2 linked regions of the Cricetulus griseus genome follow. The protein of the gene in region 2 purifies or fractionates together with the protein of the main gene of each other region. This does not show direct contact. Links are inferred from orthologs where the notes say so. Each region holds a gene or a part of one and is shown on either strand. Other genes may lie near its edges. The genes, in order: Copg2 and Copb1.

Evidence for each region.
Region 1: the proteins of Copb1 (region 2) and Copg2 purify together in Homo sapiens (affinity purification with western blotting; 4 studies listed by BioGRID and IntAct, with this or other methods). This does not show direct contact. The link is inferred for Cricetulus griseus from reciprocal best matches to the Homo sapiens genes COPB1 and COPG2.

The regions. Positions count from the first base shown.
Region 1 is NW_023276806.1:197,046,469-197,050,290, reverse strand, and holds part of Copg2 (coatomer subunit gamma-2), read right to left. Parts: coding exon 3,777-3,822; intron 2,893-3,776; coding exon 2,767-2,892; intron 2,238-2,766; coding exon 2,175-2,237; intron 1,715-2,174; coding exon 1,575-1,714; intron 951-1,574; coding exon 779-950; intron 1-778. UniProt on the Homo sapiens protein: The coatomer is a cytosolic protein complex that binds to dilysine motifs and reversibly associates with Golgi non-clathrin-coated vesicles, which further mediate biosynthetic protein transport from the ER, via the Golgi up to the trans Golgi network.
Region 2 is NC_048596.1:86,412,825-86,416,646, reverse strand, and holds part of Copb1 (coatomer subunit beta), read right to left. Parts: intron 2,616-3,822; coding exon 2,386-2,615; intron 1,549-2,385; coding exon 1,379-1,548; intron 1-1,378. UniProt on the Homo sapiens protein: The coatomer is a cytosolic protein complex that binds to dilysine motifs and reversibly associates with Golgi non-clathrin-coated vesicles, which further mediate biosynthetic protein transport from the ER, via the Golgi up to the trans Golgi network.

The sequences.
Region 1 (3,822 bases), on a different chromosome or scaffold from region 2:
ACTACCTCCCCACCAAGACTGAACATAGGTCAAGCAAATGATAAAGCATTTCTCAATATGGACACAAAATGGTCAACTAAATTACTTACTAAGCTGAAACATTGTAGACCACAGTCTTACACTACAAGATGGTTAAAATAATGTATTGAAATGCCAACCAATCTGCTAAATAGCCAAGTTTTCCCAGGAACCCTGGAAAGAAATATCAGGTATTAGAACCTTCACTCATGGTTACATTGTTTCAATAGAAACCCTGAGTTCACGCTGGCTTTTTGGAGTCCTCCCATATGGTCGATGCCTTCCTCAGCCTCAATGCAAGGGGCTTGGTTCTGCTTCAATTGAATGTGCTAGGTTTTATTGATTCCCAATGGGAGGCCTTACCCTTTCTGAGTAGATCGTGGACAGGCTGGAGTGAGGGAGAGGGAGAGTGGGAAGAGGGGCGGGAGGGGGAACTGTGGTTGGTATGTAAAATGAAAAATGAAAACAAAACAACAACCCCCCCCCCAAAAAAAATAACCCCTGAATTCTTTTTGAGGCTGTCACTAAATACATTCAGTTTCTCTTTTACCATTATCATTAGCAAGTTTTTCTCACAGATTTAGTTTTGAAAGTAGTATTTCTACAATAGTAACCAATTTTATAAACATACCCTACCCGCACAACATTAAGTTCTGGAAAGAACCATATTCTTGAATGTTCAATACTTGGCTAGACATTCTAAGAGCTCCAGAGCTGGTTTTTAGACCACAAAGTATCTTCTCCCTTCTGAAGTCAGTACCTGCTGTAGGATCCTCATCCGGCAAGCGAACAAGTGTGTAGCACATCCCCGGCTGATTGTAAGGGAGGCTGGGGGCTGGGACGTAGCACAGTACTTCATAGGAGTCGGACGGTTCCATCTGCACCGTTACCTTCTCCAGCAGCTGGTCATTCAGAGTGTTGGTACAGTCAAACTGAAAAGTTAGCAACAGAAAAGTTGTAAAGATTAAGAAATACTTTCCAGTGAGTTGTTTCTCTCACTCATAGTCCACAATTCAGTTCTGGAATCTACTGTATTCAACACTATAAATAACACTGTAAATCTCCTAAGATTTTATTTTCTTCTTTTGGTATTAGGGATTGAACCCAGGCCTCATACCTCCCCTTAGACTGCCTCTTTGAAACACAGACTAGTGTTGGACCACCCTGTTTCTCTCCCTGATACTGTCACTACAGAGTGTTAGAAATCTGACGACTCTCAAATCTAAGTTCTTTGAACAACCCACTTAGTTTACCTTGTTTAAATGCTGATTTTTAAAATAGTTGAATTACATATTGTTCATTTCTTGAGACATTCAATTTTATATTCTTTTAAATTATAGTTATCAAGAATAGCCCATCATCAGAAGAAACCTCTATACTTCTGGGAAAAAACAGAAAAACAAAAAACAAACAAACAAACAAAAAACTAGAACTACTACTAAATTAACCCTTTATGAAAGGAACTAGAATCATAAACTAAAGGAAAGTGCTATTTGACTCGAGTATACCAGCTTATATATAAAGACATAGGAAGAACCAAGAGTTCTTTCTCTCACCTGGAACACAATGTGGTCAGTAAACACGTGCTTGATACATCGCACGAAGTACTCTGTCTCTGCCTCCGTGAGCTGAACAGGCTCAGAAGACTTGAACAAGGGCCCCAGACTCATAAACTCAGGAATGGCAGCCAACTGTTCTATTAAGCACAAAGAGAAAGAAAAGTAGAAGCACAGTATGAGGAAGACAGGAAGGGACTTTATTAAAATGCTTTAGTTACCACAGAGCAGAAAGACAATTTCATTTCTATGGCCTTACTAATAACTGAACACTCAACCAGTGGTCTCTAAACTTCTGTGAAATAAGCCTTTAAGTTATCAAGTTTATAGACTAGGTTTCTATACGTAGGGGGAGGGGACAAACTAAATTGCTAATTTCTTTCCCTCTTAACCACAAAATATGCACAAGAACAACACTTCCAGGTAGTAAATTAGTCACTGAAAAGTCCATGGACACCAGGTAATTCCAGCCACTATAACCTATGACATGAGAAATTTACTGAACTGAGAATTAATCAAATTGAATAAAGGTAGTAGATGTTATTAATTCATAATACCTAGGGATTATAAAGATTATTACTTGTACTCATAAAAACATACCTTGGAAAATATCTTGTCTGGAAGGAGCCAACTTCTCTGGCTTAGAAGTCACAAGCGTGATTTCTACAAAGACAGATGTAAGCAATCAAGTGAGTTTCTCTCCACAGAAGGAGATGAAGGCAGTAACTTTTACCAGATACACAGTGGCAAACAGATTCAAGTAGTGTGACATTTTGTATTAAATAACTTAAAACAAACAAACAAACAAAAAAAACCTTTTCATCTTGGGACATTTTCTTATTCTTGCTTTTAGGTAAAACGCCAAGGGTCTCAAAATTCTAAATTTAAACAATTTCATCTTAGTACTAAAAGATCACCAATTGTGCACACCTTAAATCCCAGCACTTGGAAAGCAAAGGCAGTTGGATCTCTGTGAGTTTGAGACTAGCCTGGACTATACAGTGAATTTCAGGGAAGGGCTACTATGTAGAGAGATCCTGTCTCAAAAAACAAACAAGCAAAAATTTAAAAAATGAAAGAGAGAAACTATGCTATTTTTAAAAGCTTTTTCTAGGTTTCTTTTTTGTTTTGTTTTGTTTTTTATAAATTACTTACACACAGAAAAACTAACAGAGTTAAACAGTTATGTTACCTGACTTCTGTTCAAAGACAGGAGCCATAGCGAGAGGAATGGACTTCAAGTCAAAGGGTTTTTCTGAAGGCTCTAGTGTATACTGGTGCAAGGCCTTTTCCATCCCTGGTATAGAGACTGTCAGACCTATAAATAGGAAAAGCTCAGCATTATAACCTCTTATCAAAGCTTTCTGAAGGAAGAGAAACATGTATCAAAAGATTATAACAAACAGCTTCAAGTATTAAGAATGATTAAGAATGATTAAGAAAAACTTTTCATCTTGGGACATTTTCTTATTGTTACTTTCAGGTAAAACCCAAGAGAGTTAAAATCCTAAATTTAAGCAATGTCATTAATTGTATTACTAAAAGATCTCAAACAACGCTTTCACAGAGGTCACCTAAGACCATTGGAAAACACAAATATTTACATTACAATTCATAACTAGCAAAATTACAGTTATGAAGTAACAATGAAAATAATTTTATGGTTGGGGCTCACCACCACATGAGGAACTGTATTAAAGGGTCAGAGCATTAGGAAGGTTGAGAAGCACTGCTCTAGCCCAAGTAATCAAATTAAAGATTACTATATAAAACTGCCTTATACACTTATAAGCTGCCTTATTTTTTTCATGGAAACATGGGAGCAGAACATTAAAAAAGTCAACAAAATGCAAGCATCTCTCAGAAAATCAAATATTTTAGCTATATGGGAACAAGAAAAGCAGAAGAAAACAAAACTGGAGAGAATCATGTAAGAGGGAACCTAAGAAGAACTAGAGATAAGCAATATTCTTTTGGACCCTTTTATACTTTAAAAAATACATATTATTTCATAGGAACTGCTATTACCAAATTAGAAAATACCTCCATGAATATACGTTTCCCTAGAAATGGAATTTCATTCAAAGATTAAAACCATGCAACTGCCTAAAGGAGTCAGCTAATATGTGAATCACCATAAAATAGGTTTGACCATTTGAACAGAAGTGCTATGTCATGTCTCCATAACACTAAGGCACTAACCGTTGAAGATATATGTAGCATTCAGGGCCATCTGTCTCTGCTGTAG
Region 2 (3,822 bases):
TATGTGCTCCATGTTTATGTGACCTTTAAATTTCTAAAATATATAAAGTGCCTCTGGCAACATTTAAGAATTCAATTACATTATCAACAAAATACCACTGTCAACAGATAGCATAACATTAAGATAAATGTAATTGTGTTTCAGTCAAGTAATATAGTAAAGTACAAAGATACTTATAAAAACATTTCAGGGGCTGAAGATGTAACTTTGATGGTAAAGTACATGTAAACCTAAGTTACATCCCAAGAACCAATGCAAAAAAACCAACCCACAAACAAATAAAACCCTAAGCTGGGCGTGATGGCAAATGCCTTTAATCTCAGCACTCTATGAGGCAAAGGAAGGCAGAGTTCTGTGAGTTTGAAGCCAGCTAGGTCCACAAAGGGAGTTCCAGGATAGCCAAGGTGTTAACACACAAAGGGAGGAAGGGAGCGAGGGAGGAAAAAAAGTCAGGCTTGATGATGTGTACTCTGAGAACATGACTAACAAAAAGATATCTGCGGCTCTCTGGTGAGCCAGCCTAGACTATGTGGTGAGTTCTTAGCCACTGAGAGACCTTGTGTCAAAGTTAAAGGTTGATGGTGCCTGAGAAACAGTACCTAATGTAGTTCTCTAGCCTGAACATACATAGATGCTTATACAAACATGCAGGTGCACACACATGCACAGACACAAAATATATGATATATACTGTATGTTAAACTGGCAGTACTAGGAATCCAACCCAGGACCACCCTCACTCATTCTAGGCAAGGACTCTGCTTCTGAGCTCTACCACCAGCCCCATAACTTACACGGACTGAGAGCCATGACTATAACAATTTAGCACTTTAGCCTCCTCTGAATCTTACAATTGTTTTAAAGTTCAAAATCTCCAGCTTTATTATTTTACTCTAATGACTGTTTCAAGGCCTTGTTCCTGCTAAATAAACACTCACTCACTGAGGCATGTCCCCAACCTTTTCTATTTGTAGAGACTCATTAAGTTGCCCAGACTGGCCTCAGACTCTCATCCTCCTGACTCAGGCTCCCTGCACCACTCGTCCAGACTAAATTTTCAACTGTTATAATAACAAGAATTAGTTAAGAACTGCAGCCTTTTTCATTAAAAGAGTTCCTTCCTCAAAGCTTCTAATACAAGACCCATACTGTTCAAAATTAGAATTTTAAAACAAGGTAAAAAAATGCAATGCCTTTAGCAAGTAAAGATATATGAACTAAATGAACTGCAACAACACAATTAGGAATGATGGTCACTGTAGGGAACACCCTAACCATGCATCATTTACAAGTACATACATTCTGCAACCAACCACGCTGGAACCTCTAGTCTAAAGCATTTAAAATAGAAATAAAGCAAAGGAATATCTTTCCTTACCTGTAGATAGTGTAGATTGCTAGAACAGCGTTTCTCCTAACATAGCTGTGACGATGTTCTAAACAAGCACGGATAGCGGGCATTAAAGGTTCTAACAATTCTGCTTCCTTCAATTTGCAAAGGAAACGAAGAGTTGATCCTCGAATAAACTCATTAGGATGCTGAAGATCCTGATATAAAAATTACAGTAGGAAACATTGAGTTTCAGCTTTAAAAACCCTTACATTTAATTATTTATTTGTGTGTGTGTGTGTGTGTGTGTGTGTGTGTGTGTGTGTGTGTGTGTGTGTGTGTGTATTTGAAAACTCTGCAGAGGTCAAAGGACAACTTGCAAGAATACATTCTCTCCTTGCACCTTGTGGGTCCTGGGGACCACACTTGGGTTATCAGGCTTGGCAGCAAGTACTTTACTTGATGAGCCATCTCATAAGCCTAAGAGTCAGCCTTTTATAAAAATCAAGATTTAAACATAATACTTTCTAATTTGAAAAAATTAAAGTTACTTTTAGGGAAAAGATCTAGATTACTGGTTTTCTTCTGATTCCTCTAAAGTCATTTTTATGTATTTCACCATTTTTTTTAATAACACAGAAAATATAGGAAAAGGCAACAATACAAAATGTTTATCATAAATTTTACAGGTGTATCCAATCTTTTAACATTACAATAAAACTGTCATCTAAAAGTTCATACTGAGACTAACTCAATAGTTATGTTAACTATTGAGAAAAATAAAAACCAAGAAAAATAAAACCAAATAAAACCCCCAGCCCTAAATCCACCAAAAAGAATCAAATAGCATGTTAGGTTTTTATGTTGAGCAGCATTCACAGCTATCCCCACCTCATGCAGCCTAAACCTATTGCCATAGGCTGAACACACTTCAATAATAAATATTTACAATTTCTCATCACATCAAAGATCTCATTTTTGAAAGCTAAAAAAGTATCTATTAGAGCAATTTTATAACTACAAAAATAACAAAGCACAGTTATGATTTGGCTTACTTTTCTATACGCATCACACACAAGAATCATCTCATGTAAAAGTCTTCCATCTGGAGTTGTTTTAGGAACAATTTCCCAGAACACAAGAAGCAACTTTTTGATGGTGTGATCCTGGAGTGGCAGCACAAAACGGATGATAGTCATCAGGAGTCCAGGGAGCTTCTCACCATTCAGAATCATAATGATTACTTTCTTCAAAGCTTCAGTCTTGGACTTCACATCACCTTTCTCTGATTCAATCATTTAAAAAAACAAAAAAAGCATAATTATTTCAAAACCAAGTTCCTCGGATAGTTTAAAAAGGCTATGAGCAAAACAAACTAAATTTACTATCAGCTTTGGTAATAAGGTTACAAATCCAAATGAAATGTTTGAATATTTTGTCTCTGAATCTCAGATGCCTTACACAGGATTTGAGGGTACTAGATTAGTCTTCTGGTCCCTGACCAATTTAGTTAATGTGGTTCCTGAACCTATATTGCTAAACCACATGACTTTAACAGATGTGTCCCCCACCAATACCAAAAAACAAAAAAACCAAAGTAAATCCTTTAAACTCAAAATAACACATTTTATGTGCATTTTCTCAGTTATAGCCATTTTTTAAAAAGGGTAGCATGAACAGAGTGACCTTTATTAAAATTTTTAAAAGGGTCCTCAATATTCATGTAACTTTAGACACTTTCTTTTCTTGTCCATCTGAACAACTGAATAAAAACTAAAATGTTGAATCAGTAGCCACCGATTAGAATTTAGGATATATTATTTATAATAAAAAGGAAGTTTAACCAAGGATAAAAATTATTCACTATAAAATATTTTATGGAACTAGGTGGTGGTGGCACATGCCTTTAATCCCAGCACTTGGGAGGCAGAGGCAGGCGGATCTCTGAGTTCGATGCCAGCCTGGTCTACAAAGAGTTATAAGACAGGACTACACAGAAAAACCCTGTCTCAAGAAAACAAACAGAACAAATTTTTTTTGATATTTTATGAAAAGAAATCTATAATTTTAAGTATTATGAATACTGGGAAATTAATGGTATTAAAAATCTTCTGGGTCTGGGGGAGAAGGAATGGGGGTGAGGGGAGGGAGAGGGAGAGGGGAATTACATGTGAAACAAGCCTGTTCCCTAACTTGAATTAATAATAATAATAATAATAGTAATAGTAATAATAATAATAATAATAATAATAAAGAGAAAAAAAAAGAAATGAGGGAGGAAAGCCAAAAAAAAAAATCTTCTGGGTCTAAAATTCAAAGGCAGATAGAAGTACAGAATAAGTACAATGCTACCATAATTGTTTCTATCATAAAATCAGAGCTGGACAAATGGCTTAGCAGTTAGGAGCACTGGCTGCTCTTCCAGAGGAGCTGGGTTTGAGTCTGACACCCTCTTCTGATCTCTGAAGACAAAACACTAATACATATAAAAT